2 linked regions of the Ovis aries genome follow. The protein of the gene in region 1 interacts with the protein of each later gene in a pairwise test. Links are inferred from orthologs where the notes say so. Each region holds a gene or a part of one and is shown in the gene's direction. Other genes may lie near its edges. The genes, in order: GFAP and KIAA0408.

Region 1 (3,755 bases):
GATAGATGACAGAACTGAAGTCCAGAGAGGTTAACCAATTTGGCCAAATTCACACAGCTCCTAAGCAATAGAGCTGGATTTCTAACCCTAGCTGTCTCACTTAAGAGCCTGTATTCTTATCTTTTTTTTTAACTGTTTATCTGGGGGGCTTTCTTGGTCATGCCTCTAAGCATGTGGGATGTTAGTTCCTTGACCAGGGATCAAACCCACGCCTCGCCCATTGGAAGGGTGGAGCCTTCACCACTGGACTGCCAGGGAAGTCCCAAGCCCACATTCTTGATGCTTCTGCCATCTGCATCCTGGGTTACTGAGTATCTGCTGCATGCCAGGCTCTGCCCTGCATACAGAGACACGTCTGACCAGGGGGATGTGATGTCACTCAGCTTGATGTCTGTGAAGAACGCAGCAGGGCAGGGTTTACACGCAACGCGGAAGCAGGACAGATTTCATGGGAGGGCAGTGGGGCCAGGCGGGACTGGCAGCCTACGAACATACAGAGAAGAGAGAAAGGGCATTCAGGAAGGGCATGCAGGACACAGCCTGAGTAGAGGCCATAAAGCACAGAAAAGTGGGGGCCCGGAGATCCTGGCCCAGGGCATGGAGCTGAGGAGTGTAAGTGGCAGAAGTCAGGGATGGTTCTGAGCAGGTTAAGGCGTGATGGAACCATGAGGGATTCAGAGCAGGCTGAAGGAGAGAGGGTTATTAGAACCTGGTCTCTGCTCACCAGAGCTCCCTGTGTGTGACCTAGGAGGACAGGATTCAGTCCCGAGGATGGAGCTACTGGAGAGTCTGGGCTCTGTGACACCCTCTGCTCATTCACGCGTTCCCTCATCAGGCACTGAGCTAGATGCTAGAGAAGTAGCAATGTCGTCTGTGTCTGTGTCCATGGGCCACGGGTGACTGTGAATAATCCCACCCAGTGCCAGTGGCGTGGGGTGGGCTGGAAAACAGCCGTACCGTCCGGCCCATCTCCCTGATCCTCCAGACCGCGTACCAACCCCCCGAGCCCACTAAGCTCCCGCGATATGCGGCCCCAGACCGCCTTCCAGCATAAAGCCCTCTCCTCATCTAGTTCGCGGACCTGAACGACGCCGCCGCCCGCAACGCGGAGCTGCTCCGCCAGGCCAAGCATGAGGCCAACGACTACCGACGGCAGCTGCAGGCCTTGACCTGCGACCTGGAGTCCTTGCGCGGCACGGTGAGCAGGGGCGGGGCCGCAGGCGGAGGAGGGGTACGGGTGAGCGAGCCGGGAACCTGGGACCTACAGCCCTAGCAGACGCTGAAGGACTGGCTCGGGGCGGAGCTCTGAAAAGTTTCTTGGGGCGGGGCCTCGGGGAACGGTCCGGCTCCACCCACAGAACGAGTCCCTGGAGCGGCAGATGCGCGAGCAAGAGGAGCGCCACGCGCGGGAGGCGGCGAGTTACCAGGAGGCGCTGGCCCGGCTGGAGGAAGAGGGGCAGAGCCTCAAGGACGAGATGGCGCGCCACCTGCAGGAATACCAGGATCTGCTCAACGTCAAACTGGCCCTGGACATCGAGATCGCCACCTACAGGAAGCTGCTGGAGGGCGAGGAGAACCGGTGAGCCCAGACCGGCCGCCTGCCCTACTGCCCCGCCCCAGAGTCGCCTTGCTCCCTTCACGAATACATGTGTGCTCGGACATGTCCAACTCTTTGCGACTCCCATAGATGGTAGCCCGTCAGGCTCCTATATCCATGGGATTTCCCAGGCAAGAATACTGGAGTGAGTTGCCATTTCCTTCTCCAGCGGGTCTTCCCGACCCAGGGATAGAACCCACGTCTCTTTGTGTCTCCTGCTTTGGCAGGTGTGTTCTTTACCACTGCGCCATCTGGGAAGCCCCATCAGGGACTGTCTTATTCAGCCTCGTGACCAGCCCCCTCCTATCCCAGCGCCCAGCACAGTGCTCACCTAACACACAGTTGGTATTCATAAATGCCTGATGAATGAATGGATGGATTCAATTCAGCCCATGTTGATCAGATCCTAGGGTAAGGACTTGGGTTATCTTCCAAACTAAAAGGCTCACTCCCCACCCTCCCAACAAAGACTGGACTTCTTTTCTGCTGACCAATCTCCTCTGCCTCCTGGGAACTCTCTTCACTGCTCTCCCCTCCCCTCTGTCATCCTCAGAGCACTCACTCTCTTTTGAGTGGAGGTGTTCCCCCAGAGCTCTTACAGCGCGGGGAGTGTGTTGGCTGCTGGAGAAGCTAAGAGATGGAGGTCCGCCTTTCCTGGCAAGGAAGAGGGCCTCGAAGCTATTATGGTGACCTTGGACCAGGATCTGGCCTGGGAGTGTCCTCTGGCAGGCTGGTCACCCCTCTCCTTCTGCTGTCTTTCAGCATCACCATTCCTGTTCAGACCTTCTCCAACCTGCAGATCCGAGGTCAGTAGAACAGGGTTTTGTGGGCAGAGTGTTGGATTCCCGCCCCCTTCCCCAGGCCTGTGGGTTGCTCTTCTGGTCTGAGCCCGAGGACCAGGGCAGAGGGGCCCAGTGCTCTCTGTGGGGACCTTCAATATTCATGGCAGAACTTCCAGCCAGAACACACCATTCCAGAGCATTCCAGGTGGGGCTTGCAGCCACTCCTGTCCTGCTCTGCCCTTTGTCCCTCCTCCCATGCCTACTCCCCATTCCACTGCAGAACTGAGTGAGGGTCTTAACCTCTCACCTGTCTGCAGATCCCTGTCCAGCTGAGTGTTTGATGTTTGTGTGTTTTTTTTTAACTGCTTGTCACTACAGGGGGCAAAAGCACCAAAGAAGGGGAAAGTCACAAGGTCACAAGACATCTCAAAAGCCTCACAATACAAGTTATACCAATTCAGGCTCACCAGGTTGTAGATGGAGCCCCGCCGGCTCTCGGTTAGCTGCCTGCCTTTTAGACATGGTGCTTTTTTCACCTTAATAGGGAGCAAGCTCACCAAGCCCACTTTCCCCATCTTCTTGAGCTCCCTCCTCCCAGGTTTCCCTAAAGGGCCAACCCTGTGTCATTTCCCCAGCAATCTCAGCGCCCAGTCCAGGACCTGGCACAGGGTAAATGTACATTAAAGTAGTAGAGTTGGCCAGTGTTCAAGGTGCTAAGTCCTCGGGTACTCAGCTCAGATGCTCTGGGCCTCTGAGCAAACACCAGCTTCTGCCTCACCTCTTCCCCATCACCAGGAGGGCCCCTAGAGTCTCACGGTGCCTGGCAGCCAGGCTCTTGGCCTGATTCCTCTGTCCCCGAGGCTCGGTTGTTCAGCTCAGGGCTGATTCAGCCCAGAGGATTATTTCCCTCTAGACTGCTGCTCTTGGAGTGAATAAAGTTTTATGTCCCCTGCTCTTAATATTAAACATTAGTGAGTGTGACATGTTACATTTTTCTCTCTGCAGGGGGGAATAAATTGCTTCTTACTTGTATGTGGCCCTCAAATAATTCTCAGCTGAGGGAAAAAATAATTCTTCTGGACTAGAAATTTAGGAACACTAGCTATGCATGTCCGAGGGCTTAGTTCAGTATCAGAAGAGTTAACCAGCAGACCAGGTAGAGGCAATACTGCCACATGCCAGACAGAAAAGGGTCCTAGAGAAGTGGCAGAGAGAGGCAGGAAAAGGGAAGAGGGACGGGAGAGGGACCCATGTGTACGGAACATGAATACGTGCCCATTGTTTTACACACATTGTTTCAGTTAACTCACTACTTCGACCTAGAGAAGTAGGCAGCAGTATCCCCATTTTGCAGATGAGGACACTGAGGTTGGAAG
Region 2 (3,817 bases), on another chromosome or scaffold:
GAAGCAAATTTGTTTTCACCCATGACTCCTCTAAAAGAGGACAGTGCCACCAAGAACATCCTTAGATTTAGCCTGGTGCTTTTGAGGGTTGCTTCTTATTATGCCCCTCAAGGTCGGCCAAAATTATAATGCCCACAGCAGTTCAGTACAGATAATTTTACAGGAGCCAAAATGGTTGATTCATGATGGCAATTTGATGCTATCCTGACTTCATCCAATGACAAATTTATGACTAGGGCAATAAATGCACTGCATATCCTTCAGGCATTAACGATATTCTAGTGCTTCTCTCTGAGATTTGCGTAAACACTGAGCAGAAATTAATCTGTTATTATATTCTTTGATTAATAGATCTCATGCAGATATAGGATGTGACTGTAAAATGTAGAGTCATTTGTTTTAAGTCTTTGGAATTTGACAAGCTTTCCCAGAACTCAAGCCTGAAGAGAAAGTCACTAATTGCCTGCAGGTTAAACTAAATCCTCAAGAACTAATTTGGGGCAATTAATAAACTAATAGATGATCAAAGCCTTAGAGTTCAATTGTATTACATAGGACAGGCTCACACTTGTTTTAATTAGGACAAAGGAAGAAACTTTTTTTGAATGTATATAGCCTTCGAAGTTAAAAAAAAAAAAAAAACAAGTCTGATAATTACCTACCCCTCACCCACGTAACCTCCTAAGGAAACATCTTTTGATGATGAAATAACTACTTAAGGGACAGAATGAGCTGAGTTACTATGTGAGATTGTCAGTCATTTAGACAGTTCAATGTTGACTTACAAGTAGGATCATGTATTTTTTAAATATGGCCTTAATGTTGGTTAAATTAGAGCACCTTGCCAGTAATTGGGAGGAGGCAATGGCAACCCATTCCAGTACTCTTGCCTGGAAGATCCCATGGATGGAGGAGCCTGGTAGGCATCAGTCCATGGGGTCGCCAGGAGTTGGACATGACTGAACGACTTCACTTTCACTTTTCACTTTCATGCACTGGAGAAGGAAATGGCAACCCACTCCAGTATTCTTGCCTGGAGAATCCCAGGATCGGGGGAGCCTGGCGGGCTGCCGTCTATGGGGTCGCACAGAGTCGGACACAACTGAAGCAACTTAGCAGCAGCAGCAGCAGCCAGTAATTGATCGAGGTCCTTCCAATTTTGTTAACAGTGCTTCTGTATCATTATGACATCTATATATAAACGCAGGTTTCTGTCATTTTTGAATGAATTGATTTGTACTCAGAAAAATAGAAATTACCTTCTTTGCCCTACTACATGTAGTCTTTATGGTTCATCAAAAGTTTGCTCCAGCTAATCCAGATTTTAGAAGCATGATTTGGAAGCATTAGCATTAGTGCCCTGGAGCAGTCTATGTATGCATGCGTGCTAAGTAGCTTAAGTCATGTCTGACCCTAGGGACTATAGTTCTCCAGGCTCCCCATCCATGGGATTCTTTAGGCAAGAATACTGGAGTGGGTTGCCATTTCCTTCTCCAAGGAATCTTCCTGACTTAGGGATCAAACCCAAGTCTCTTATATTTCTGCAATGGCAAGTGGGTTCTTTACCATGAGTGCCACCTGGGAAGACCCACTATATAGTAATATGGCCAAGAAAACTCAGAACACTGTGTTTAGGATCAAAACTATTGAGAAAGTAGGTTAGGGGGAAATTTTTATCTTTGTTTTCCTTATAGCTCTGCCATGAAGTAAAGCGTCGGAGGAAAATCAACATGAGTGAACGTGCTAAGGTCATTGATTTTGATTGTGAGAAGGCCGTTGGAGATAAAATGGAATCTTCTGCAGATTACCCCAATTCAGGACAATGTAAAATTACAGGGATACATCCCAGGGACATTCTGGGGAAAAAAGATAAAACAGAGCAGAGTTTACTCAGGGAAAGAAATCAAGTGTGCAAGGAACAAAAAACAATCAAAAAATCAAAAGTAGGGTATATGGATTCTGAAGCCAGAGACAACCATAAAGAACCTGGGGCCCGGCCTGACTGGAGGACTTCTGAGGCAGAGAACAAGAGCTGCTCTGGAGCCCTCAACACAGTAAGTAAGACGGGATTTGCCTTGGACTGTTTCTAAAGAAATATTTACATTTCAAAGGGCTAACATGCTATTGCTTATATGTATAAAGGCTCTTGAAGAACTTGCCAAAGTTAGTGAAGAGTTATGCAACTTTCAAGAGGAAATTCGAAAGCGGTCTAACCACAGAAGGTAGGCTGGTACATCTATGATGATTTTTATGTTGAAAAATCAAGACGGATATTGTTTTAAGTTAATGAGTCCAAATTACCTTTCACATTTAACACTTTGTTAGCAAAAATTAGTAATGTTACTAAAATCTGCTATTTTAGGAGATAAAAGTTTAAATTGTACATTTCTTTGATCATTAATTCTTAAAGTAAATCTCCTGGTTTTCTGTATAATTTGACTGTTAGGTGTACTTCACTTTTTATTGATGTTTAGCTTAGTTATGCTTGCCATTGTGCTCAGTCACTCAGTCGTGTCTGATTCTTTGCGGCCCTAGGAACTGTATAGCCCACCAGGCTCCTCTGTCCATGGGATTCTCCAGGCAAGAATACTGGAGTGGGTTCCCACACCCTCCTCCAGGGGATCTTCCCGACCCAGGGATCAAACCCGTGTCTCCTGTGCCTTCTGCATTGGCAGGTGGATTCCTTCCCACTGAGCCACCTGGAAAACCCCAACACTCACCATAATAAACAGTAAATTAACAAGTGTATACAATGGCATTCTTTTTGTTTTGAGTATTTGGCCAGTGGAACAGTATGCTGGGTTAACCTAGTTGAATACATCTTTCAGTTCAGTTCAGTTCAGTCGCTCAGTCATCTCTGACTCTTTGTGACCCCATGAATTGCAGCACGCCAGGCCTCCCTGTCCATCACCAGCTCCTGGAGTTCACTCAAACTCATGTTCATCGAGTCCGTGATGCCATCCAGCCATCTCATCCTCTGTCGTCCCCTTTTCCTCCTGCCCCCAATCTCTCCCAGCATCAGGGTCTTTTCCAATGAGTCAACTCTTTGCATGAGATGGCCAAAGTACTGGAGTTTCAGCTTTAGCGTCATTCCTTCCAAAGAACACCCAGGGCTGATCTCCTTTAGAATGGACTGGTTGGATCTCCTTGTAGTCCAAGGGACTCTCAAGAGTCTTCTCCAACACCACAGTTCAAAAACATCAATTCTTGGTCGCTCAGCTTTCTTCACAGTCCAACTCTCATATCCATACATGGCTACTGGAAAAACCATAGCCTTGACTAGACTGACCTTTGTTGGCAAAATAATGTCTCTACTTATCAATATGCTATCTAAGTTGGTCATAACTTTCCTTCCAAGGAGTAAGCGTCTTTTAATTTCATGGCTGCAGTCACCATCTGCAGTGATTTTGGAGCCCCCCAAAATAAAGTCTGACACTGTTTCCACTGTTTCCCCATCTATTTCCCATGAGGTTATGGGACCGGATGCCATGATCTTACTTTTCTGAATGTTGAGCTTTAAGCCAACTTTTTCACTCTCCTCTTTCACTTTCATCAAGAGGCTTATTAGCTCCTCTTCACTTTCTGCCATAAGGGTGGTGTCATCTGCATATCTGAGGTTATTGATATTTCTCCCAGCAATCTTGATTCCAGCTTGTGCTTCTTCCAACCCTGTGTCAAATTTAACAATGTGGTGTTTTAATTTTATAATGATGTTCTGCTGAAATATTCTGAATTATTTATTTCTCTACATTTATTATGTATATAATGAAAGCATTCATAATTTTCAGACAACATACTGTAAATACATACACACATA

The links.
Region 2: the proteins of GFAP (region 1) and KIAA0408 interact in binary tests that used the Homo sapiens proteins (3 or more experiments, as listed by UniProt). The link is inferred for Ovis aries from reciprocal best matches to the Homo sapiens genes GFAP and KIAA0408.

The regions. Positions count from the first base shown.
Region 1 is NC_056064.1:44,354,514-44,358,268, reverse strand, and holds part of GFAP (glial fibrillary acidic protein), read left to right. Parts: intron 1-1,072; coding exon 1,073-1,198; intron 1,199-1,358; coding exon 1,359-1,579; intron 1,580-2,359; coding exon 2,360-2,403; intron 2,404-2,757; coding exon 2,758-2,877; intron 2,878-3,755.
Region 2 is NC_056061.1:11,123,874-11,127,690, forward strand, and holds part of KIAA0408 (uncharacterized protein KIAA0408 homolog), read left to right. Parts: intron 1-1,694; coding exon 1,695-2,054; intron 2,055-2,142; coding exon 2,143-2,222; intron 2,223-3,817.